Linked DNA regions of Mytilus edulis. The protein of the gene in region 2 interacts with the protein of the main gene of each other region in a pairwise test. Links are inferred from orthologs where the notes say so. Each region holds a gene or a part of one and is shown on either strand. Other genes may lie near its edges.

Evidence for each region.
Region 1: the proteins of coiled-coil domain-containing protein 146-like (region 2) and alpha-taxilin-like interact in binary tests that used the Homo sapiens proteins (3 or more experiments, as listed by UniProt). The link is inferred for Mytilus edulis from reciprocal best matches to the Homo sapiens genes CCDC146 and TXLNA.

Annotation. Positions count from the first base shown.
Region 1 is NC_092353.1:78,674,050-78,686,371, forward strand, and holds the start of alpha-taxilin-like, read right to left. Parts: upstream 5,358-12,322; 5' UTR 5,329-5,357; coding exon 5,248-5,328; intron 3,913-5,247; coding exon 3,372-3,912; intron 2,517-3,371; coding exon 2,181-2,516; intron 482-2,180; coding exon 342-481; intron 1-341. UniProt on the Homo sapiens protein: May be involved in intracellular vesicle traffic and potentially in calcium-dependent exocytosis in neuroendocrine cells.
Region 2 is NC_092344.1:87,603,471-87,615,873, reverse strand, and holds the start of coiled-coil domain-containing protein 146-like, read right to left. Parts: upstream 4,812-12,403; 5' UTR 4,649-4,811; intron 1,286-4,648; 5' UTR 1,284-1,285; coding exon 1,125-1,283; intron 860-1,124; coding exon 777-859; intron 207-776; coding exon 1-206. Other genes in the region: ruvB-like 1, read left to right, coding at 5,109-5,249, 9,124-9,210, 9,575-9,791, 10,288-10,445, 11,077-11,226, 11,843-11,906. UniProt on the Homo sapiens protein: Essential for sperm flagellum biogenesis and male fertility.

The DNA.
Region 1 (12,322 bases), on a different chromosome or scaffold from region 2:
GGATAGATGGACAGACAGAGGTTAAACAGTATACCCCCTTTTTCAAAGCGGGGGTATAAATATATATATATAGCAATCAGAAAATTAGATTATAAGGAATAGCAAACAGTAAAAGAGAGAATGGAAATGGGGAATATGTGAAAGAAACAACAACCTGACCAAAGTGCAGAAAACAGCTGAATGCCAACAATCATGACAATAGGTCTTTATCACAGCGAGAAAATCCCACACCTGGAGGGACAGTTCAGCTGGCCTCTTTCTGTCTGTACTAATTTTCTGAATGTTATACATATATTGTTTTTTAAATGACATTAATCTGTATATACTAAATATATACTCACCACACTAAGTTTACGCTGCATTTGTTTGACTGTAGAATTTACAGTTCTGTGTTCCTCATGGAGATCAGCATACTTTTTACACAAGGCAGCTAATTTTTCTTCCGTTGTTTGTAGGCTGTTCAAAGCTCTCAAAATATGATCTACAGAAAAAATAAAATTCCCTAGTTTTGAATCGTAATCTAGCTCTTAGAATGTGACACATGTTGATTCTTAAAATATAACCTAGCTCTCAGAATACAGAAAAACATACATTTTCCAAAGTTCTCAATCTAGTCCTTTTATAGATTTTTTTGTCACTGCTATACCTGTCAATATGATAAGAAACTTTCAAAAACCTTCATATTCTATTCAGCTTGGTTAAATTAAGACACCTACTGTCGGCCACAAATTTTGCACATCCAGCTACGCTTTAGGTTGAAGAAAGAACTGCGTAAAAACCAAGATCTCTAATTTTAAAACTTTTAAAAGAAGCCGGGCAAGGAAAATTATGTGGGTGTTGATTAATTACAAAACCGACTTTTCTTTAATCTTTTTTCAGGTGTTGCTGAAAGATGCAAGATGATTGTGCAATCACATCAATAATTTGTTATTCTGATAATCCTGAAAAAAAGCTTAAACATTTCATGGAGAAGTGCCAGAATCTAAATGCACCAGTGATTTGTTTTGAAAGGTAATATGAAGTGGATCTATAAAAACACATGCTAGTCTGTTTCTGTTCTAAAATAAACAATAGACTTTGAAGATACTAAATTACAGATCATTAAATTATAACAATACACAAAAGTAATGTTATAAACTGTTAGATATTACGTCAATCAATCCTTCTGGAGGCAAGTGGTTTATAATCTGTTTAACTTACAATCCTGATATATACTAGTGCACATGCACTCTTGCTTTCATCAATGAAGTTCAAGGACACCAAGCTAACACAATTTTCTTTTTTATACAATCAACAAGATAAAAGTTTGAGTTATTAAAAAAATGTTATTAACAAACTTAATACTTTTTTTTTAACACCTGTTTCTGAACTTAGTTACCCCTTGGTCTAAAAATATCAAAATAAGATTCAACTATGAAATTTTAATACAAATATAGCAAACCCAAAAAATTTAGCTTCCCAATTTACTAATTTTTTTTTAACCATTTCCCAAAATTTCTGAAATTGAATTTCAAAATATAACATTGAAGTAACAGACAGATCTGTTTTTACATCACAAGAGGAAAAATGCATTATTCTTCTCACATGGAATTTAATCAGATATCTTTCTAATATTTACTTGTTATGCTACTGACATTTTGACAGATGGTGTCCTTGAACTTCAATGAAAACATATTGATCAATGATGTCGAATACTCTGAACATTTGGAATTATTTTTGGCTCATAATTTACATTTAAAACAAGAATGTGTCCTCAGTACACGAATGCCCCACTCACACTATCATTTTCCATGTTCAGTGGACCGTGAAATTGGGGTAAAAACTCTAATTTGGCATTAAAATTAGAAAGATCATATCATAGGGAACATGTGTACTAAGTTTGAAGTCGATTGGACTTCAACTTCATCAAAAACTACCTTGACCAAAAACTTTAACCTGGAGCGGGACAGACGGACGAACAGACAGACAGACGGACGGACGAACGGACGGACGGACCAGAAAACATAATGCCCCTCTACTATCGTAGGTGGGGCATAAAAAAGCCAGGTTGTGTAATCTTCATTCTAGACAGGGTTCACTGAATAATAATGTCTATGTATCAAAGAGATTGAATAACAAGAATATGTGATAGTAAAAGTGTTAGTCCTTGAAATCTTAAAATTTAATTCCATGACATTTACCATTTTTACCTATAGTTTTATCCTCTTTCTTTTTACTTTTTTTGTCAATTTTTGTTCGGTCTTTTGAGTCAGTGTCCTCTTTTTTCTTATTTTTATCTTCGGATGGATCAGTTTTCTCCCCATTTATTTTCAGATCTCTACTCAATGCCTCCTCTAACCCTTCAGACCCAGTACTGGCATGCATGGACCCATTCTGACTGTCAGGAGATCCATCTCTCTCAGCAGGGTCTGGGGCTGTCATCTGTTGGACCAGGGAAGAGAGTGCACTCTCACTCAAACCGGAGATCTCTGAGTTCACACCTTGTTCTTGATTTAATTGTTCTGTGGCAAAATTTTCTATGAATAGAGAGAAAAGTAACTTGTCATGCTTGTATACATATAAAGCACATTGTATAATTACATTCACAAATTGGAAAAGGTCTATTTATTGTTGATAACAGATACATTCCCCCTCCCCACACACACTACATGTACAGTGTACACTAACTTTTGAAACGTAAATGTCCACTGTCAAAATTGAACTTGACCTGTATATTACATATTTTATGATCCCATCATTGTGTTCAACATGTTTGAATTCAAAATGAATGTGCCAAGTGGAACATCAACCTTCATCAAGACTGCCATAAAAAATATATATAGCGTCTTCTTCTCATATGATTAAGTACATCATGTACATGTACAGTAGTGTATCATACTTATGGTTCTACAAGAGCTATTTTGTCAATAAATAAAGTGACAATGAGCAATTCTGTTATACATTTTGATGGAATGTTATACTCAGTTATACATGTAACAATCTATAATGGTGTTGTTCAGATATTGTCGCTGGTTCATGTCTGCTTTTTGTTTTTTGTAAATGGTATTGTTATAAATAAGGTTATTAGTTTCCTCGTTTCAATTATTTCACCTTTTTTTCATATGTGAGCATTATATACATGATATAGCTGACTATTCAGTATTGGGTGTTCTCATTGTTCATGTTGTTGAAGGCCATTCATCAGTGACCTATAATTGCTAAGTTTGAACTCTGGTGGATAGTTGTCACATTAGCAATCATACCACATCTCCGGTCCTTTTTTTTTCATATTGGAAAGATGATTTTTTTTGCTTTCCATAACAAATACCTAATGAATCCTGGACCATATATGGCCTCTATGCACTCAAAAAGGAATTCATACATGAACCTACCAACTTTCTCCATGACTTCAATTATACGTAAATCCTCTGCAATAAGCTGATGATAATAATCAAAACTTTGAAGTTCTCCGACAGGAAATGATTGTTTTTGTTCTACCTCTTTTAAATCCTCAACGTCAATTAACGATTCCTCTTCACACTTGCTATCACTATCACAAGCAAAGCTATCTTGCTGATACACAGTCACAGAATCTTTCAGTGGATATTTTAATACAGATTTAACATCCACAGCAGAAAGAGTCACGGGCTCAACGAAACAATCTAAATCTGAAAGATCCTCTGACAGTACTTCTTCTCCTAACCAAGCAACTGATTGATTTGATGCAGAGAAAGTGTCTGGGGATTGGTCTGTGTCTACAGTGGCAAGATCTGGAATTTGTTCACAAGGAGTTGAAATCTGAACTTGATGCTCAAAACCTGACGAAAGTTCTGATTTTACTTCCTGCTTTGAAAAAGATTCGTTAACTGGTTGTGCTATCTGAACAAGTTTTGGTTCAGCTACAGGCTTTATCTCTTCTCTTTCGTCTGGATGCTGAAAAAAGAAAAGCAGAATTATTGACTGAAGTCCAAAGACAACATTATTTTGTCTACATGTAGATCTATGCATTAAATCACAATTTGATTTTACTACTAGCATGACTATACATACTGGTAGCTAGTTTTGTATATATAACTAATGGTGTACCGGTAAGCTAGCGCTGTTCCCCATGCTACCAGTCTAATTGAAAAGTTGAGACGAAGAACAGCATTAAAATTAAAGCACATTTTTTTCACTTTTCAAGGTATTAAGTATGTAAGGCATGTGTACATGTGTAGGGATGTTGTGTCATGAGTGAATACTCAGTGATATCATCTTTCTAAACTTTCATCCATGCTACATGTATTATCACTATTATCTTTCAATATTGTAACATTTATTTACTACTCATTCTTAAATTATGGACTTTTGTTGTGTGTTTATACCGAAATATTTGTTAATAGTTAACAATTGCTTAAATTGTCAGCTTAAAATCTATTGATTGATTTTTGGTGTTTAATGCCACTTTCAGCACCTTTAGCTACATGTACATTGTGATGGCCAGAATTTATTGGAGGAGGGAGGAGGAAACTAAAGTGCCCAAAGAACACCAATCTTTAGCAACAAAATTGGTGATACTTATCAATTAAGATCAAAGGCACCTGCCATGTGTTGACAGGCTAGTGTGATACAGTACACGATCTACGTAGACCTCTCTACAAGCGACCTCCTTCTAGCCTCTATATATATATATATATATATATATGAATCAACAAATAAGTTTAGTAGGTAGTTTAAGGCCACTACTGACCATTGTCTAGTCATGCTAGTTGAAGAAAGAACAGTAACAATGTAAAACAATTCTGTCAACATGTATATAGATCTATAGTTCAAATTGAAAACATTCACCTAAACTTTAGTCAACAAATTTCCTATTAGTCATCATATATAGCACTGAGAAATTACAGCAGCAAATTAAATTATATTTCTCCAAAAATACATGCAATTAATTAGTAACTGATTAGAACCATTTTACTGCACAGTATGTAAAGAATTGTACTACATTCTGATGTAGCTGTGTAAAGGATTGAAGGTATTAAAGTCTATGTATTATATCAAACAGAAATATACAAGACGTCTTATATCACATCACGCAATATAAATCAACAGACACATGAGTATAGCATTCCATCATGACAACCTGGCTACCCTCCAATCTTCTACAAATACATTTCTTATATTATATTTCTTAATTAATTTCTTATCATGTTTACAATAAAATTCAATTTCCCCAAAAAATTAGAAAAAAAGATCAAAGAGGCAAGAAAATTGGCTAGAATCTGAACATACCTGTTTAATTTTTCTTGATTTTCCACGAAGAAAACATGAAGAGAGAGTTCTAAAAGTTGAGCGGAACCAGGAGAATGCCATACTATGTCATCTTCCTGGTATCAATTGTTAAGTCAATTTGGGGCTCAAGAAAGGGAGAGTCAAGAGGTAATACAGGTGCATGTAATTCCACACACATTGGAGATAACATCTTAGTATTCCCAAGAATTTACATAAAAACATGTAGAATGTCTTATGGTTGTATTGTTACAATTGCTTTTAACTATAAATATTACTAAATGTAGGAAATTATGCAAATTGGACAGGACATCACCACTGCCTATTTGACAAAATAACTAGAACTGTGCATTTCTTTTCTAATTTATAATTTAAGTTACATAAACAAGAATTGATAATTAAAGTACAGTCAACTGGATTTAAGAGTTTGATCTAGAGCAAAGTTAGCAGTCTATAGTCTATACAGTTTATATCTCATAGAATTATATGAAAGGGTCATAAATAAGAATCACTGGACACCAGGCCTCCAAGACTGGCAAGAGCAATTTTTAATCTCTTTGTATTTACTGTGTACATTGTATACTATACTGTACAATGTTTCGTCTTCTTTGAATGTTTAATATTAACTACATGTATGTCTATCTATGAGGAAACTTGTCTGGCTGCAAAAATAACACAGGAAATAATTACATGTGCTTTATATACCATGATAGTACACTGAACAATAGAACACTAACCCTTGGTACTAGTACATGTATAACATACTTTCTAACTAAGATAATCAAAGTGAATCAAGCTTTATTCCCCATTTTCTAAACTAGTGATTTTATAATTTCATGAATTCTATTTAACATGTTTAATAAGTCCAGTTACTATTATTTGTTTAAAAATATATTGAAATAGTAATTTGTCAATTTCATAGATTATTCACTTATTTTTATCAAACAAACAAAAAAATCATGAACTGATGAGGCAAAGATAATGTCAATTTTTAAAACTTGGACTAGCTATACAGCAAAGCCAAAAGTGTCAGCTGATTCAATCCCAATTTTGTTTTATGAACCTACATTGAAACAGAACCCCCTGACTGCTTCCTCAACATTAGCATGATTAGATAGTAATTATAGGTGCAGACAGCCCCAATATTGAGGATGATCATGGTGATAAGTTTCTACAATTATCAACAAGATCATCACAGCTGGAGAAATATACATCTGGTATGAAATGGTAAGAAATGGTACACCTCTAATCATTCCTATCTGATTGATGCTAATTTGAAAATGATAGTTCCACATCAAGGTCTTTGATAAGATTACATGATAAATACATTGTATCCTTGGGCCCTTAGGGATTAGCCATCATTAGGAATAAAAAATGTTATAATAAGACTCAGGAGTCATGTTCTAGGACCTTTTAGTTTTATTTTCAAAAAGAAAGTATTTTAAATATACATACATATAAAAATAAAACTGTATGGTTTTGATGATAGAATTTAACTATATACATGTACATATTTTTTGTACATTCTTTAATTATATTTACTTAGCAATGCTTAGTATTTAATTCTAAGATGTATATCAACATTCGATTGTCAACTTTAAACATTCTTTTCAACATTCCACATTCGTTTGCCACATTTGTTTTCAACATTCAACATTCGTTTTTAACATTCAATTTTCAACTTTCAACATTCGTATCATGTAAATAAATATTACATTTTGTATGTATATATTTTTTTTCAAATAATAAGTATCTTTTAAACTTACATGACTTAATATATCAGTTGTATGTTCAACATGTACATGTGCATTCAGTAATTACATTGTTGATTTTGATCAATTAAAAGATCAATTCATCTTGCATTAGTGTTATCAATTAATTATATAAAAAACGTCATCTAATTAGAAGTACATTTTGTTTATAGTCTCTCAGAAGTATTTTCATGCAAATTCTAATTTTAATTTGACAACTCTTGATCTTGATTGGTTGCAATTGATGTTTTAATCTTTGAATAATTTGAGCAGGATCGGACAGCATGAATTTCTTTTCATCAATTACAGCCGAGTGATTAATTAAAACATTATTCTATAAACAACGTAACTGCTTCACCATAAATTTGTACACAATTAAGAGTTATTGAAACCTTGATGAAATTTCTAGCAGGATAGCTATTCATGCTTTTATAAAACTAATTTTCAGCCATGCAACATTAATTTACATGTTCAAATAGAACTAAAACAAAACAACAATAACTAAAAAAACATAATGTTTACCGACATACAATGTATGTATTAAGAATAAGAAGTACATACTTTGGTGGGATGTTTTGTATCTCCATTATTGTTGCTAGTTATAGAATTCCCCATTTCATTCCGAAAAAAACAAAATTCTGACCAACTAATTAGAACTAGCCACTGATTATTACTTCTTTTTTACATCTTATCAAATGGAGGCCAGAGAGCAATAGAAAACCCACTGGCATCTATATAAATGATATCTGACAAATAACATTTATTATGTACATGATGTATTTCTTTGTTTATGAAATTAACATCTTGGAACTGTTGGCAAAGACTGTGTGTGTATGGTAACAACATCTGTCTCATGCTGAAGTCTACCTGCTAAAGTTATGTAATTCATATTTAAATTCTACTTCTTTTAGCAACATCTTGAAATGATTTATGTTTTTTCTCCCAAAATAAACCCATGAGCTTGAGGCCTCTTTTAACAGTTTAAAGACAGCATGAACAGAGGGCAGATCAATCATTTGGGGCATATTGACTTTCAACATTTTCAAGTACATTTTTATATATCTTCAATATCCATGTAATTATCGAAACTGTTCATTGCCAAAAATAATATTAAGTCCAAATTTTGAAAGTTTCTTTGTGACGGGTTAAATGCAAGCATAATATACACAAGTGTCATGAAACATAAACATGATAGATGTATAATATTTTGTTTGTGCTACATTTTGTACATGTGCTAAAGGGATGTTCACCAGCTTTACCCTTTCCTATTTATCCATGACTTTTTAAACCAGGTGCTCCGCAGGGCGCAGCTATATATGACCCCAGTGGTCGAACCCTGAACAGTTGGGGCAAATTTGGTCATAATATTCAAGCTTGATACTGTCTGATTTTGGATTGGGATCAAATTTTTTACATAATATGGGTTTTTGTCACAAAATTAAGGTGGTCAAAGATCTTACAAATCTATTGCACAATACTGTGCAACTGAATATTTCTTCTTGAAACTTTTCAAAATTTGAAATTTGAAAAATTTTGAAAAAAAAGGAATCCCTTAAAAAAATGGTAAACAAAAAATCCCCCTCCCCACTTTTTGAAACCCCTATTGGAGCAATAACCCTTAAACTCAATCCCATGCTTTCTTTTGTAGTATTGAACCTTGTAGTACAATTTCAGAGAGATCCATACACTTAAACACAAGTTGTCGTCATGATTGTTTGGAAACTAGAAACATGCTTCTTTTTGGCCCTTTTTAGGCCCCTAAATCCTACATATTTCGGGCAATTAACCCAAAACTTAACCTAATTCCTAAACGGTTGGGACCATCATCGCCAAAATTAATCCCAACCTTCATTTTGTGGTATTGAACCTTCTGAAAAAATTTCATAAAGATCTATTCACTTATTAAAACTAAAGTTATTATCCGGAAACCAATGTGTCTTCGGATGACGAAGACGCAGACGACGACATCATACCATTATACGATCCCAAAAATTTTTTGGGGTCGTATAAAAAGTACCAAAATATATCAAAACTAAACAATACTGAACATTAATCTATGCATGCCATTCTCAACAAAATGATCACAATGATATGAAAGAATGTTTATAATGTATAAATTTGTCAACTCATTTGGAGGCGTCTATAAATACATAAAATGTATCATTTTCTAAAACTACATAAAGACCCATTGATTTTTTGCATCAGTTAACCCCCTCCTCCTTAACATAAAAACAATACTTATAAGATAACCACTGATTAACATGATTACTACATTTAAGTTACAACAATGAACAAGATATACATGTATGTATCTTTATAAAAATGCTTTATCATAAATATATATACCAGTAAATGGGAATAAGTTGAGAGGTACAATTTATAATTAAATACAAAATGGTTCAGTAAAATCACTCCCGGGTGGGTGTAGGGTAATAAATACATCAATTTATTTTCACTTTCAATATTTTTTACTGAACGAGTCAAACACAGAAACAAAATTTACAATGGGGAGATGTGTGGAAAAAAATGTGAGAAATCTTATATTTACTTCACCACAATTTGCTAGCAGAACACCAACAACACCACCCATACCATCTCTGACAAGTCTGAACAGATATAGAGATACACTGGAGATATGTCATTCACCAGATCAGACTAGACTCTCACATGCCTCTAATTACTGTCAGATGCTCTTCATTAATTACACGAGGGTCAGAATGAGGGGTATTGCATTTTGATTGATTAAAATCTATTGAGCTTATGAAATTAAGATTGTTTGTGAAGTTGGAACTAAAATTGAGAATGAAAATGTTGTGTTGATTTGCATACACATACACATTTATTTATTCATGTATCTCATATTTTCTGGATGTATTTTCCAACTATCATGACTATCAACCCCTTCTTTCAATAAGTTTTCCTTCTTTCTAGTATAAATATAAATTCATGCTCTTTCAGTTTTAAAATAAGATAGAATTAAACTGCACTTTGGCATCATGATCACAAAAATTTTGATTTGAGGAGGAAGGACAGCTTTAAAATGCTGTGTAAAAAACTTGTCAGACCATGAGGAATGATTTTAGGGGCATTTCATCAATTTTAAAATTTCCAAAAAGATCAATTTTGTTGATGTTGTGATACTATATATATCAAGGCAGTGTACTCTTTTGAATGAATTGAAATTATAGCAACTTTTCACATAGAAATATGTATTGACAATCTACTATTATTATGATTTATATCAAATGTTAACTATATTTTTTGCTTTTTTTATGAGTAAATTTAATCATGATGATGAAAGAAGCTGCAAAATTAAATATGTCCTATATAATGTCAGCAATTTTTTTTCGATCTATAAAAATATACCACATTTTTTTTTTAAATATTTTAAAAATTCTTCAGTAGGTAGAAATTGTCTTAGAGTTGGTCAATAGCCAATTACGGAGAAAGAAAGCATCAATTTTGACAATTTTTCATCCTATTTCCTGACATGGAAGACCAAGGAATGCTGATAGATCTATATATTAATCAGTAGTGGACCCCAGTGAACAAATTTACCACAGTTCTTTGGTCAGAGTGAAATTGATCTGGCCATGGTCAGTCTAATTTCAAAAGAAGTCATTTGGACCCAATATATGAAATTTAGATTTTTTTTCGGATTTTTTAATTTAACACTAATTAGGACCTACACAAGTGTACAACCGAAAGTAGCCATTTCCTATGTGTATTTTAATAATAAACATGAGCAATAGTCATGATAGTTATATGCCTGCTGGTTTGCACTACTTGTGGAAGTTTTAGGCCCCTGCACCTCGCGTGTCATACATTAAAAAGAAGCCTACACCTCCAAAAACCACAGTTTTATCTGATTTCAATTTTTCATACAAGTTTGTGCTCATCATGCTTATCAGAATTAGCATTAAAACTAAGAAATATGACAATAGTGTAAGAATGATGTAACATGCATTCACTTTGAAATAAATGTTTTCAAGTTTACCTAAAAAAAAATATGGAGAGCCATTGGAGCCAAATAACGATATTTTGAGTATGGCCGTAATATAAAAAAAACCTGCATGGTAAGGGTTACGATTGCTGACTTCAGGCAATTGGCTTTTTCTCCCCATTCACAGTGCTATATCATGTATAATAATAAATGTAAACAAATGTTACATATATATAGTTTCTACCGTGAACATGATGAAAATGATATTTAACCTTGCATCATCACGACTCTTAAACCATTCGGTTTTGGTTCAGGTCCTCTCTAATTTTTCCTCGTATGAATCTAGGAAATACAAGGTCTTATTTGCACTTGAAATCCCAGCAATATTTATAGTAAAATCATTCAGTAGAGGGAAAACTGACAGAAAATAAAAACAAATATTTTGACAAATGCAAATGGCAAAAATCTGAAACGAAGCTGTAAATATGTAAATATTTCAGCATTTCTATTGCGAAACTGACAATGAAGATAAGTTAAAAGGTTTCTTGTTATCTCAATGTGTTTATTGCATTTAATTCGTGTGTGAAATATAATTTGAACGATCATTACGAGACGTAGAAAATGGAGGGAAAACAGAGGTTGACAGTCTGAAAATTTTGAGGACAGAGCCACTTATTTGTGCCACTATTACATAATAAGTTGTGTTACGTGTATAGCGCTACAGAATTGAGCAACTGGGAATTCTTTATTATATTGCACATAAATTAAAACAACAAAATAATTGAAGACTAAAAGTAGTTTTATTCGGAATTCTACACAAATGTAATAAATTACACCTTTTACCTGTTTAAAATTACCTGAAAATGCAGGTTACTTGATAAAAAATTTAGTGAAGTAATTTCCTAACATTACAGTTCATGCTCTTCTGAGCATTTTTCCTGCAATAACTTTCTCTGTATCTCTAACAATAAAAGATTGCCTACAAATGTACAAGTACCTGGCGGAGGTTACTTTTTACCTGTTTTAATTAAGTGTGCATGCATTTTCAGTTTGCAATAAAAACTAACGGTCATCATAGAAGAAAAGCGGAAACTTCTGTATGAAAACTCAAAATAAAACTATTGATCTATTTCTGTAATTTTTGAACTTAGTCATGATACAATATATTTGATTTGATTTGATTTGAGTTTTCCTTTCCTTTCTTGATTTATCATTAATGATAGTTTTTTTTATTTTTTACTTAAAAATAAATCCTTAATTTAAACATTTACTTACTTTAATACTACATGTACTAAACGAAAATACTCACTGCATATTTTTTTTTATTATCATATCAATATTTAACACCATTATATGATGATGTAATCTTCTTAACATGTAAAGG
Region 2 (12,403 bases):
ATTTGTAATTTAACTGATATTCTCTGTCTAATATTTCATCTTTAGCATTTACACTTTTTAAGATTTCTCGTCTGATATTGACCACTTCCGAATTAGAGGTTTTATCTGGTAAATTATCTGCCTTCTCCAGCTCTATCCTCTGCCTTTCAAGTTCTACTTGTACTTCTTTGGCCTGCTTCAGTAAATTTGATTCATTATCTCTTGTTCTGTTGAAGTAAGATCATATTATAAACAATTATAATACTTAATCAAATTTTATAAAAAAATATTGTAGTTTCCATAAAAACAATTCACATTAAATATGTCAGAAATAAAATATAAGTCCTTTAGGGTTTGTTTGAAATGGGTTTTTTTTATTATTAAGTTAATATCAATATTTTTTTTCTTCAAAACTTGTCAAGACAAAACTGTCAGAAAAAATAATTATCCTTTTCTGGAAAATGGTCTTGCTATACATTCCATCTTTCTTTGGGCTGTTCTAAAATGTTCATGTAGTTGGTGGAGTAGATTTGAGACACTTAAAATTATCAAATATGGGTGGTTACATTTTTCTTAGAATTTTTAATTTTGAGTGGTCAGGGTCTAAAATAACCTACCCCTATGTGTTTGATTCTGGAACAGCCCTTAACTCAAGTTAGGAGACAATTGAAGTAGATAATAATTATATAATTATAAAAAAAATTCCACAGACTTTACAAAAGCCAATTTTTCTATTTTTGAAGTAACTTATTCAAAACATTGACATATCTTCGAAAAATAAAAATAAAAGTACTCACTTTTTCAGAGTTTCATGTAAATCTGTGTACTTTGCTTTCAGATGTGCCAGTCTTGTTCCAGTTAATTTACCATCTTGAAACAACTAGAAATAAAGAATATAAAATACAATGTACTGCTTTATAATGATAAGGAAATTATACTGTAAATGCAGTACACTAACCAAATCTACACTTACCTAAGGACCACCAATTTATACACCTTGTATAACACAAACATGATTAGTCATTTTAGTCTTTAAGGTTTTTTATAGGTTTTTTTGGTATCCTGTAACAAGTAAAAATACATGGACGATTTTGTTCTCTTGTAATTGTAATGAAATTGTAAAACTCTAATTTAAAGATTCTAACCTCGTCAAGACATTGGAATGCAGGACTAGCTGAAACCTCCACCTGACTTTCCTCTTGTTGTACCACTCTAGGAGGAAGTGCAGTCAATGGCTGTGTGTATTTCTGTGGTTCCTCTTCTGTCTCATCTTGGGAATCCTCTGTGGGCTCTGGACTACTCATATCTGTGTAAAAGACAATGAATCTATCAAAATCAAAATTTCTATTGCATTTATATGGTGTTGAATCTCCCTTAAATGCAATATTGAATATATTTGTAATTGACCTTAAACCTGAGGTTATCTTAAGTCTGTCTGACATAAGATGCAATTCTAGATAATTTAATGCATGCTGCCATTTACATGTAAGTGGTATGGTTGACTTCTAAATATGTACATTGTACATGCAAATCTGTCACAAGTGTTTCCAGAGAAGAAGATATACAAGTTAACTATGGTTTACAGATGAATTGACCCTATAATCATGATATGAAAAATTTAAATTCTAGTACAGCTCACACGACCCTTTTGTCAAGGAGAGCTCAAAAAGTTATGGTTTTAATATATAGTTAGAAAGTAAGATTAATACAATGTACTGTGCAAGATTTTTTCTCTCTTCAAAAAGCAGATTCAATCATGATCAAGATTACAGTAATTTGAGTTAGACAAACATATTGAAGTGGGTCCTACCTGCTGCCTGTGAGATGTAATCAGCGACAATCTCCTCAACGACAATTTTATATCCAAAAATCTTAGTGTACCTATCGACGGACCTAGAGCGTTTTATAAGGGGAGGATGGGTAATAACGTACTCCTATTACTAAACCTTAGCGGAATGATCCTGGTACATGTATCTTATTTACATCTATGGTAGCAATTGAATGGCTCTGGTAACAGTATATATCTCTTATGAACAATACTATGACAATAAACAAATAATATAATAATATGCAATTTATTCCCTTACTAAAGCAATATTCTCTTATATGGTAAAAGTATGTGTGTCGAGTTACTACTATCTTTACTGCTTTATAAAGTGTGTTGTCCTATAAGGCCTAAATACTTCGTAAAACCTATTCAGAGCTAATAATTCCAATATAGTCTTCAATTTGTTTTAAAACACCTTGTATTATATAATTTCCAAAAGTGAATTCTGTATCTTCATTTATATAAAGTATATATAGAAATCTGCTTTACCAGTATATGGGTTGTTGGAAACATGACACACTTATGTGTGTTGACACCGTGTCGCAGTGTTGATTTGTACTGAATCAGTATAATTTGCTTAAAGTAAATTAAGGAAAGTTATTGACAATGATAAATTGTAAATAATATTGAAATATTATTTTAACCCTTTTTAATATATTTATGATCCTATATGCTAACCTTAAAACAAGAATATGTAAGCAGCTTTAGTTATTTGAAAGTCGTAGGAATGGCGCCCAGACGAAACGCTTTCGAGACGCGACGGCCATACTTCCATGACGGCCCTAGGATGTGTCGGCCATACCGTCATATCGTCCATGGGACATATCGGCCACACATTGTGAGACGTATCGTCCACACTTTTAAATTTTTTTTTATTGAGTTTATTACATAAAATATAATACAAAAAATAAGTATTTGTTCATAATAATAACATAAATATGATTGTGTAGTACTTTTTTTCTGTACAGAAGATTTTATTTATTCTTGTAAGAGTTATCTTTGCTTGATCATCATCGCTCGTGTTTACAACTTGTTGCGGCCATATTATGTAAGTATATTGATTATTTCTTCATTGTCAGTTGTAAACATTTTCTGAAGAATCATTTTTATTGTAATGTGATATAAAGGCATCATATTTTATATGAATTTTAAACTGTAGGAATGTTGACTGTCGCTGTCAATGACGATATATACATACAAGCACATGTTACAGATCTTTTTATTATATCTGTAAAAAATATATATTATTCTAAACTATACAAATCTTCTCAATCTCAGTCTTGGTGAAATTAAAAACAGGACTCAGTGTAAAGGTTAACTCTAAGGAAGGCAATTCATCAAGTTCGAGTTATATTTGTCATGATCATCAGACACATTGTTTAATAATTCTGATTTTTTTTTCTTTCTTATAGTTTAGAGTCATTCTATTTGCTGAACATCTTTCCAAGACAGAGACTACTGCAGAATTTTCCAATAACATAAGAAATTACCCGTAAAATCTGACAGGAATGTGCACCCGATTGGCTAATTACATGATAAAAGATGGCCAGTTTCATTTTTATCATACTGAATGTTCTTTTTGCTTTGTTCATTGTGTTGAATTGTGTTGAAAACAATTTGTTGACAATTTAAATGTTCTCATTTTTGTGCATTTGTTGATGGATAATTGTATTATGGGCAATCATACCAATATACTCTAGTATAAGAAACAAAAAGATGATATTTTTTTTTAATATATTTTATTTATTCATTCAGTCATACAGATAAACAAATAAACACCAAACATATAAACCTTCTTCATACATACAACATACACAAACCATTCATATATACATTTCGTTCATACATGTAGGACATTCATCTAATATACATTTTTTAAATAAACAATCTCTTACGTTTTCTCTCATATGCTCTTGTCACTCATGCATTTATTCCACTGCATACACATGTCTCCCAATATTTAAACATTTATATTCACAAAAGCACTAAAACATACCAAAATGCACTATATTACGATCATGAAGTCACTACAATTAACACTTAATCAGACTCGTAGTCGGAATCTTCAGAGTCGGACTCTGGGAGGGTCTCTGGTTGAGGAACAGGTGGTGCATGCAGATGGCCTACCGAACGGAGAAAGTCGGATGTTCGGATACTGTCTTCCTCGTACTGGTCCCACAGTGAAGTTAGACGGCCTTGAAGCTGCTTGTATGTGTCTCGTTGATAGCGGCTGAGTTGCTGTTCACTCACAAGCTGCTGTGTGATGGACACGGTCTTGGCTTCCTGTTGGAAGGCTGGCACAATCTTGTAGAAATGGAGGTGGTTGTGGGCAAAAAAAAACCATGGACGATACGTCTTTACAAAGTATGGCCGTTTTTGTACTATGGCCGTTTCATCTTTTCGGGGTATGGCCGTTTCATCCTATGGCCGTCATGGTAGTATGGCCGTTACGTCTTGCATCGGACGAAACAAGACTCAGAACCCGAGTGCTTAGTTGTCGCAAATTCATATGCAAGTACGACACACTAAGACACACTGTGACACACATTTTGTATAAGAATATAGTTGAATTGAGGTTCACTTGTGTGAGTTCTGACATGCAACCTGCACTTTCCCATAGTTCAAATTGTGTCGTAATTTGTCAACAATTTGTCTTAAACGTTAATTTTTGATGCATGACATATAATTCTATTTTCTATCCCCTTTAATTTTAAAAAATGCTGAAAAGATTTATAAAGGATTGGAGTAAGGATATGAGAAGACCTATACAGCTATAGGACGCAAATTCTGGTTGTTGTCTGTTGACATCACTTATCGTTTAGTAATTAATTGTTCTTTTACCTTTTGATTTATTGAAGAAACTACCTCTTTGCTATTCCCAATAGCGTGCAAATGCACGGCTATCTGTTAAAGCTAATAATTACTGTAAATAATTTAGTGTCCAATTTGCTTGTAAATAAATTTGTTTCTATGGGCTTTACGCATGCGCCATAATAGGTTTACATTAAGTCGTAAAATATTTTCTTTTAAAACCGAGATTAAGCAGTTATTCTTTAAGCATCATCTGATTATAAATAAGTCGTTATAGATATATTTTAGAGGTAATTTATTAATATATGCAAAATCATAGAATTTTAGTGTCGTAAAGTATACGAAAAAAATCTGTGTGATTTTAACGTTTTAGAAAAGGAGATTTAAGTTGTAGACAATAAACTTGTTTTTCACGATTGTAGCGTGCCGGTTCGTGTAAAGTTTTGTTTATAGTTGCACTGCGTAGTTATAACTCTGACAAAGAACAAAGATGAAGATCGAAGAAGTGAAGAGTACCACGAAAACTCAACGAATTGCTACACACAGTCACATTAAAGGATTAGGTTTGGATGAAAATGGCTATGCAATTCAGAATGCAGCTGGTTTAGTCGGACAAGAACTTGCTCGAGAGGTATAAATTTCTAGAAAGTTCTAAACATTGTTTTCTGCTGATTAATTATAAGAATACCCAAATTTGAATTTTGAGAACAAAAACATAACACTTGAAAAACCAGTGAAATTCATCTAAATCTTTATTTTTATGCTATAGCCTTAGGTTGTGCTGGACATACACCTTATCACAATGTATTTAGAGATCTGTTCCGCTTGAACTTTTACAGGATTTTTTGTGATGTCCAGTAAAGGCAGACAAACTGTGATAAGGTGTATTGTCGATTTGTAACTAGAACTAACCTAGTAACTAGGTTGTTATACAGAACAGAACAGAACAGAACATATTTTATTTCCAATTAAGGGCCCACAAGGGGCATACAGAGCATACATGAATAAGGCAAAAGAATATTGATTTGCATAGATACATAGATACAAACAATTTTTTACATACAGTTACAATACAATTACTAACTCATATTCACTTTAATAAATTTACCAACAGCATTAAGGACCTGATTGTCTTCACAGTTTAATAAATAAATAAATTTATGCTGATTATCAAGTATAGAAAAATTCGGAATTCTTTGGCAAACAAAGTCAAAGAGAGCATCTCTATCCGATTTAAAATTTTCACAGTTAGTTAAAAAATGGATTTCATCTTCAACACAGCCAGAGGAGCATTTTTTGCAAATTCTTTCATTTCGTGGAATATTTGAAAAACGACCAACTTCAATTTGAAGCTTATGAGCAGAAATACGTAATTTGCATATAGATCTTCTAAAATCAAAGTTCTTAATTAAAGAGAGATAATTTTCATAACCAAAATTCTGCTTAAATTTCACATAATTAAACAGTTTTCCATCAGAAGCTTTATTTTGGCTAGCATACCAATTGCTAATATATTTAGTGTGAATTAATTTACTAGATATGTTCAAAAATTTATATTGTCCGAAATGTTTTACTTCTTGTTTAATTTCAAAAACTTCTAACACTTTTTTAACAAATGAGAACCAAGAAGTTATGTTAGATTTGTGAAGCTCTTGGCTGCATTTATAAGCATCTTTCAATAGACTGAATTCAGTTGTAAGATTTTATATGTATTGTACATGTATGAATATGAGACAGGTTTAAGACAGTCAGTAATATGAGGCAGGTATAACCTAAATATGGGCCGTTTGCTCAAAATGAAATTGTAATAAGATACAATGTTGGTATAAATATTATATCAAGCACATACAGTCAAACATTGGTAAAGCTGACCCTGAATTAACTGGTTTCCCCTCTATTCCAACTAAGAATTAAAGTACGATTTCCCCCCTTCAAAGTTTTTGTTTTTAATAGTCTACAATTTACAATGACAAATACTTTTACATGGAAAATATCTGATGACACAAGTCAATATCTCCCTTTCAAAATGGTAGCCTGTATAAACCACCACTGTCCAAACCAGCCCTTGCATTATCCCAAATCTGGCTGTTTTATACAGGTTTTACTCTAAAGTACAATTGTTTTTAGTACAATCAGTTTATCTCAGTCATATATGAAACCTCAAATTAAAAAAAATGATGTATATGACATTATGTTTTTTATAACTAAATGGAAAGTTTTCTTTATAAAACTTATGTACACATATACTTTTCTCTGAAGAAAATTCTTTTAAATCTTAGAAGAAGTTTACTTTTTTTTAATTGCTTGCTTCCAGGAATCAATATGCTGACATATTTTCCGTATGCAAGTGACCTTAGCACGACCCTTCTCTTAAAAATCAGGTGAACGCAATACGCATGTATCTGTCATGGAAATAAACTATTATCTGATGGTACTTGTTATACACGTGCTCAATATCCATGCTTCTTTGTTTACTATAAGGTGACAATCAAAACATGACAAACAATTAGCTGCCATATTTTCACATCATAACAGACAGAGAGAAAAAAGAAATCGACAATTATACGATATGTTTGCGTGAAAACCTGATAAAATCAATCACAGAAAACTAAGTTGATGATATACACATGAATTGGTTCAAGAATTGGATAAACATAATTTTTCACTAGTCACTCGTTTCATATGTCTTTAAAAAGTACATTATTTTAAATAAATCTTTTACTGTATATCTATATCTCTATTATGGAGAAGACGGAACTAAGTTGAAAAACTTGTGTCTAATCCATTTGTTTTGAACAATAAAATATGTTTAAACTATATACTTCCAGAGACAGAAATAGTGAATTATTATATATATATATATAATTTTATATATAGAGTCTATAAGAATCTACCAACCAGTTAACTTAAGGTGGCTCGGGACTATTCGACTGCGCATAATTTCACGCATGAATTACAAAAGTATTTGTCGTAAATTCGATCTATTTTTTTTAAATATTTTGATTGATTAGAAATGTTAAATCATTGTAGTTTTGTGAATAATAGAATATTTTCGTTATAATCCGTATTTGTTAGAGGGTCAAAAGTAAAATCACAAAAATACTGAACTTAGAGGAAGATCAATTGGGAAAGTCCATAATCACATGGCAAAATCAAATAACAAAACGCATCAAAAACGAATGGACAAGAACTGTCATATTCCTGACTTGGTACAGGCATTTTCAAATGTAGAAAATGGTGGATGATATGAATGATATTTTACCCATTTTCACCATTTTCCCGCCAAAATTTGGGTTTTAAGGCAAAATATATTTTTTTCCTTATCGGTGACCTATTTTTTTTATTTGCTCATTTCAGCTTTTTATATTTCAGTTTTGGACCAAGTGTTATAGAACGTTTTTTTGATAATTCGATAAAAATATGTCAACACCTCTATTTTCCCTATCATTTCATTGAAAAATGTTCCCTTTTACATACCTGTTTAAAAGTAAAATTTTGAGCTTAAATGGTCCGTGACCCCCTATTTTTTTTCGACCAATTTGATTCAATTTCGGTAAAAAATAAAATAACAAAAAATACGGCACTTCTGATAGAAACTTCGAAAAGGTCCCGAGCCACCTTAATAGGTATTGGATCATCAAAATTGACAATACTACACAAACAGGAAAAATTATATGAGTCTAAAAGATTGTGTAACAATACCGATAAATAAATACCTGTATTATTACTGATCTATTTTTACACCTTTTACATTATGTATCAGTATTGTTAAAACTTTTAACACTGAGGAAGGCCATTTGTTGAGCCGAAATATTTGCGATTATTGTATAATTTATATCATCTGTTTAGTTTTTCCATCTTTGTGCCATGATATTTCAACACTTTTTAGTGGGTTTTTTTTTCCATCTATTTATCGGTATTGTTACACAATCTTTTAGACTCATATAATTTTATATATATATATATATATTGTCTAACTGTTAAATTAGGTAAAAACTAGAGATACAAAATTATAACCATGTACTAAAATAATTAATAAAAATAAATAATGTAATAATATGTACGAAAGTTTCTGTAAGGGTTACCAAACAATCTAGTTACAAATCAGCCAGGTATGAATAAAACAGCATTTGTATTTATCAAATTTCTGTAACTTAAGGGAACAAACCCCACATGGGTACAATACATTGAATTATAGTCCAAATATGACATCTTGAAAGACCATTATGATTTTTGCTGTGAAATCTTCCTTTGTCATCATAAAGCTGAAGCCATTATTTTTCAGCCTGACTGAGAGGAATTTTTGTTGTTTGTAAGTCCTTGACAGAAAAAATGAAGTTTCATGAACTCTGATTTATATATGTTACATGCTTAGTTAGACCACTCAGCCATCGAGGTCTATTGAACAATTTATGTCTGATACTGCTTGTGAACCTAATGATTTTGTTAAAAAAAGGTCAATGATGAATATTAGTGTTTTAAAAATGATGTTATTTTATATTTAGGCAGCTGGTGTTGTTGTAGAACTTATTAGATCCAAAAAGATGGCAGGTAGAGCTGTATTGTTGGCAGGTCCTCCAGGAACAGGCAAGGTAATGTAAACTCTCTTCTTGTGTTAATGATAAGATAATGTTTTAAAGAAAGGGAGATAACAAACAGTGTTATGCACCTTTTACTTTATATTCCATCCTTTCAAGTCAAAACATCATAATTTGGCAAATTGCTTTTTAAATTACTAGAGGTATAAAATTCCAAGTAAAAAAGATATTTTACAGTTAAATAAGCTCCTACTCTATTAAATGATCACCCATGATAATGCCCTCCTGATAACTCTTTGGGATATCAGACAAATGATCGTTTAACACTTTAACGTCTAAATGTGTTGATGAAAAAAAAAAGGGAAACATTGTCACTTTCCAGACTATTTTAATCTTGAGTTGTAATTATTACCTTTAGACTGCCATAGCATTAGCTGTTGCCCAGGAACTAGGATCAAAAGTCCCTTTCTGTCCTATGGTTGGTAGTGAAGTATACTCAACTGAGATTAAAAAGACTGAAGTATTGATGGAGAACTTTAGACGAGCTATTGGACTCAGAATCAAAGAAACAAAAGAAGTCTATGAAGGAGAAGTGACTGAGATGTCTCCAGTTGAAACAGAAAATCCCATGGGAGGTATGTTTTATATGCCACCAAATGGCAATAGAAAGTTTTTTAACGATTCTTTATTAAACATACTTTAATAGTTCAAAGTTATAATACTGTATTGGGAAACATGCTGATTGATGCAATGTAAATTTTCTGTCTTTTCTATAAAAGTTAAGTCAAACAATGTAGTTTACCAATGTTACATGACATAAAAGAGGTGTTAAGGGTAACCATGAGTGATAAACAATCTTGACACAAGTTAAATACATGTAGTTGGTTGAGGGGGAGCTCTTTGTAGATACATAAAGTAAAAATAGTGTCAAGGCTTTTTGAAAAAAGTTTATTTGGATAATTAAAAGTAGAATGGGTGCAAATGATTGGATATTAAGATTAATTTGCAAGCATACACAACCATTGTATAAACTTTGTTGTTGACTATAAAATTGTCAACAATAGTTTTGCAATTATTCTGACTGATGAATAGTGAAAATTATTATTTTATGATATACATGTGTCTTTGTAGGATATGGCAAGACAGTTAGCCATGTTGTAATTGGTTTGAAAACAGCCAAAGGAACAAAACAACTTAAGTTAGACCCATCTATATATGAAAGTCTACAGAAAGAGAAAGTAGAAGTTGGTGATGTTATTTACATAGAGGCTAACAGTGGTGCAGTCAAGGTAACTAGGAGCTGTAAAATAACAGTTTTAGAATGAATAAGAATGTCTAACAAGTAGTTTAACTTTTACAAGTTCCAAGGCTGTCAGATTTTGATTATAGAATTTGAATTGTAAGATGGCCAAACAATTTGATAGCTTTGCTTACATATCAATTGTATGTTTTCACTTTTTAGTATGAGAATATGAAGAGAAGAAGATTTTCAGTTACAGTTCTTATCTTGTTTCAATTTATAGGTAACCTTATAAGGTAAAATTAAAAAAAGATAGAAGTCAATCATGTTTTACATTACACCTTATCACTATTTGTCCGCCATTACTGGACATCACACAGGTTCCCATAAAATTTGACGTCATAATACAAAATATCTGACGCCACAATGGAAAAGTGATTGTTGTATGACGTCAATAGTTTGAGCGGGACATATTCTGGGGTCAGCCTGGATTAGCGATAAGGTGTATTGCAGACATAAGGAGCATCATTTCACATAGAAAAAGTAAAAATGTGTTGGGGGAAATATTCTATGTTACAGCATCAGAACAACACAAGATATTCAAAATAGAAATTTGTGTCTTCACTCTTACATCAAATCAAATATTTATGTCTATTGAATTCCTATTGAAATATTTTCAGAGACAAGGAAGATCTGATTCCTATGCCACAGAGTTTGATTTAGAGGCTGAGGAGTATGTACCACTCCCTAAAGGTGATGTTCACAAAAAGAAAGAAGTCATACAAGATGTTACACTCCATGATTTAGACATAGCTAATGCTCGACCACAGGTAATGTCCCTGGATAAGTATAAAGTTTGTTTGAAATATGTAAACTGCCCAACAGTCAACACTTGGGGGTTGACATAGCCAGCCATTTTGTGTCCTAAATTTAACTAGCAGTTGCAATTGGGTATTGAATTTCATTGCATAAAACAGTCAAATGTCTGCAGAAGATTGATTTCCTTTCTTGAAGGCACTCCATAAAGTGCTAGCTGTTTTGAGAATCAAATGACAGTTATTTTTGAGATTGCAAAGAAATACAAATGTCACGACAGAAAATTCATAAAATGTATAATATGATTGGAGTTATCATATTTTAAAGGTATCACAGAAAAGAAAAACTGTTTACATGATATGCAAATACCTTCATTACAGATTACTAAGTTTTAATAGATTTGATGTTTTACAATATGCCAGTGATTTTCTAGCTTGAGGGTCAGCTCCAGTGAATTATAGGAAAAGAAAATTAAGTTTAGTGTCAAGTTTAACAGATTTCATTGATAATTTTCCCAATAATATTCTGTAAAACAGTAGATAAAACAGTTATACTGTATGCATACAAAATTTTGAAAATGGACACAAACACCAATCAATTAATTATAGACTGTTCTTTGTTTTTATGCAGGGAGGACAAGATATTATGTCAATGATGGGTCAGTTAATGAAACCAAAGAAAACAGAAATTACAGGTATAATTTGTCATTTATCACTTTTTTTTTTTCATAATTGTAATTGAAAACAACTGCATTTGACACTCATCATAATATGGGAAAGAGCATGATCCCAAAAAGCAAATATGTCAATGTGAAAGGTTTGCTTCTAATGGTTTGAGGACCAAATTTTGTTTAAAATTTCTTTTTGTAATTTTGATAATTATAAAAAGTATGTGCCCATAATATATTTCTGAAGCAAGGGTTGTTTTCTTTTAAAGAGACTTACATAGGACCAATCTTTGCCCATGATACACAGGACCATTCTGTTTACATGATACAATGACAATTGTCTGATACAAAAAAACCTAAAATAATGTTCTTCTATGGGATTTAAACTTCCTTGGGCACTTCCTATTAAAATGCAGTATTCCATTAGTTACTTCTTTTTCATCAAATGATGAGGTCTTGCGCTTAGTCTCATTGAAGGGAGCCAATAAATGAAAAGCTACAACTCATATCTTCATGATAATTTG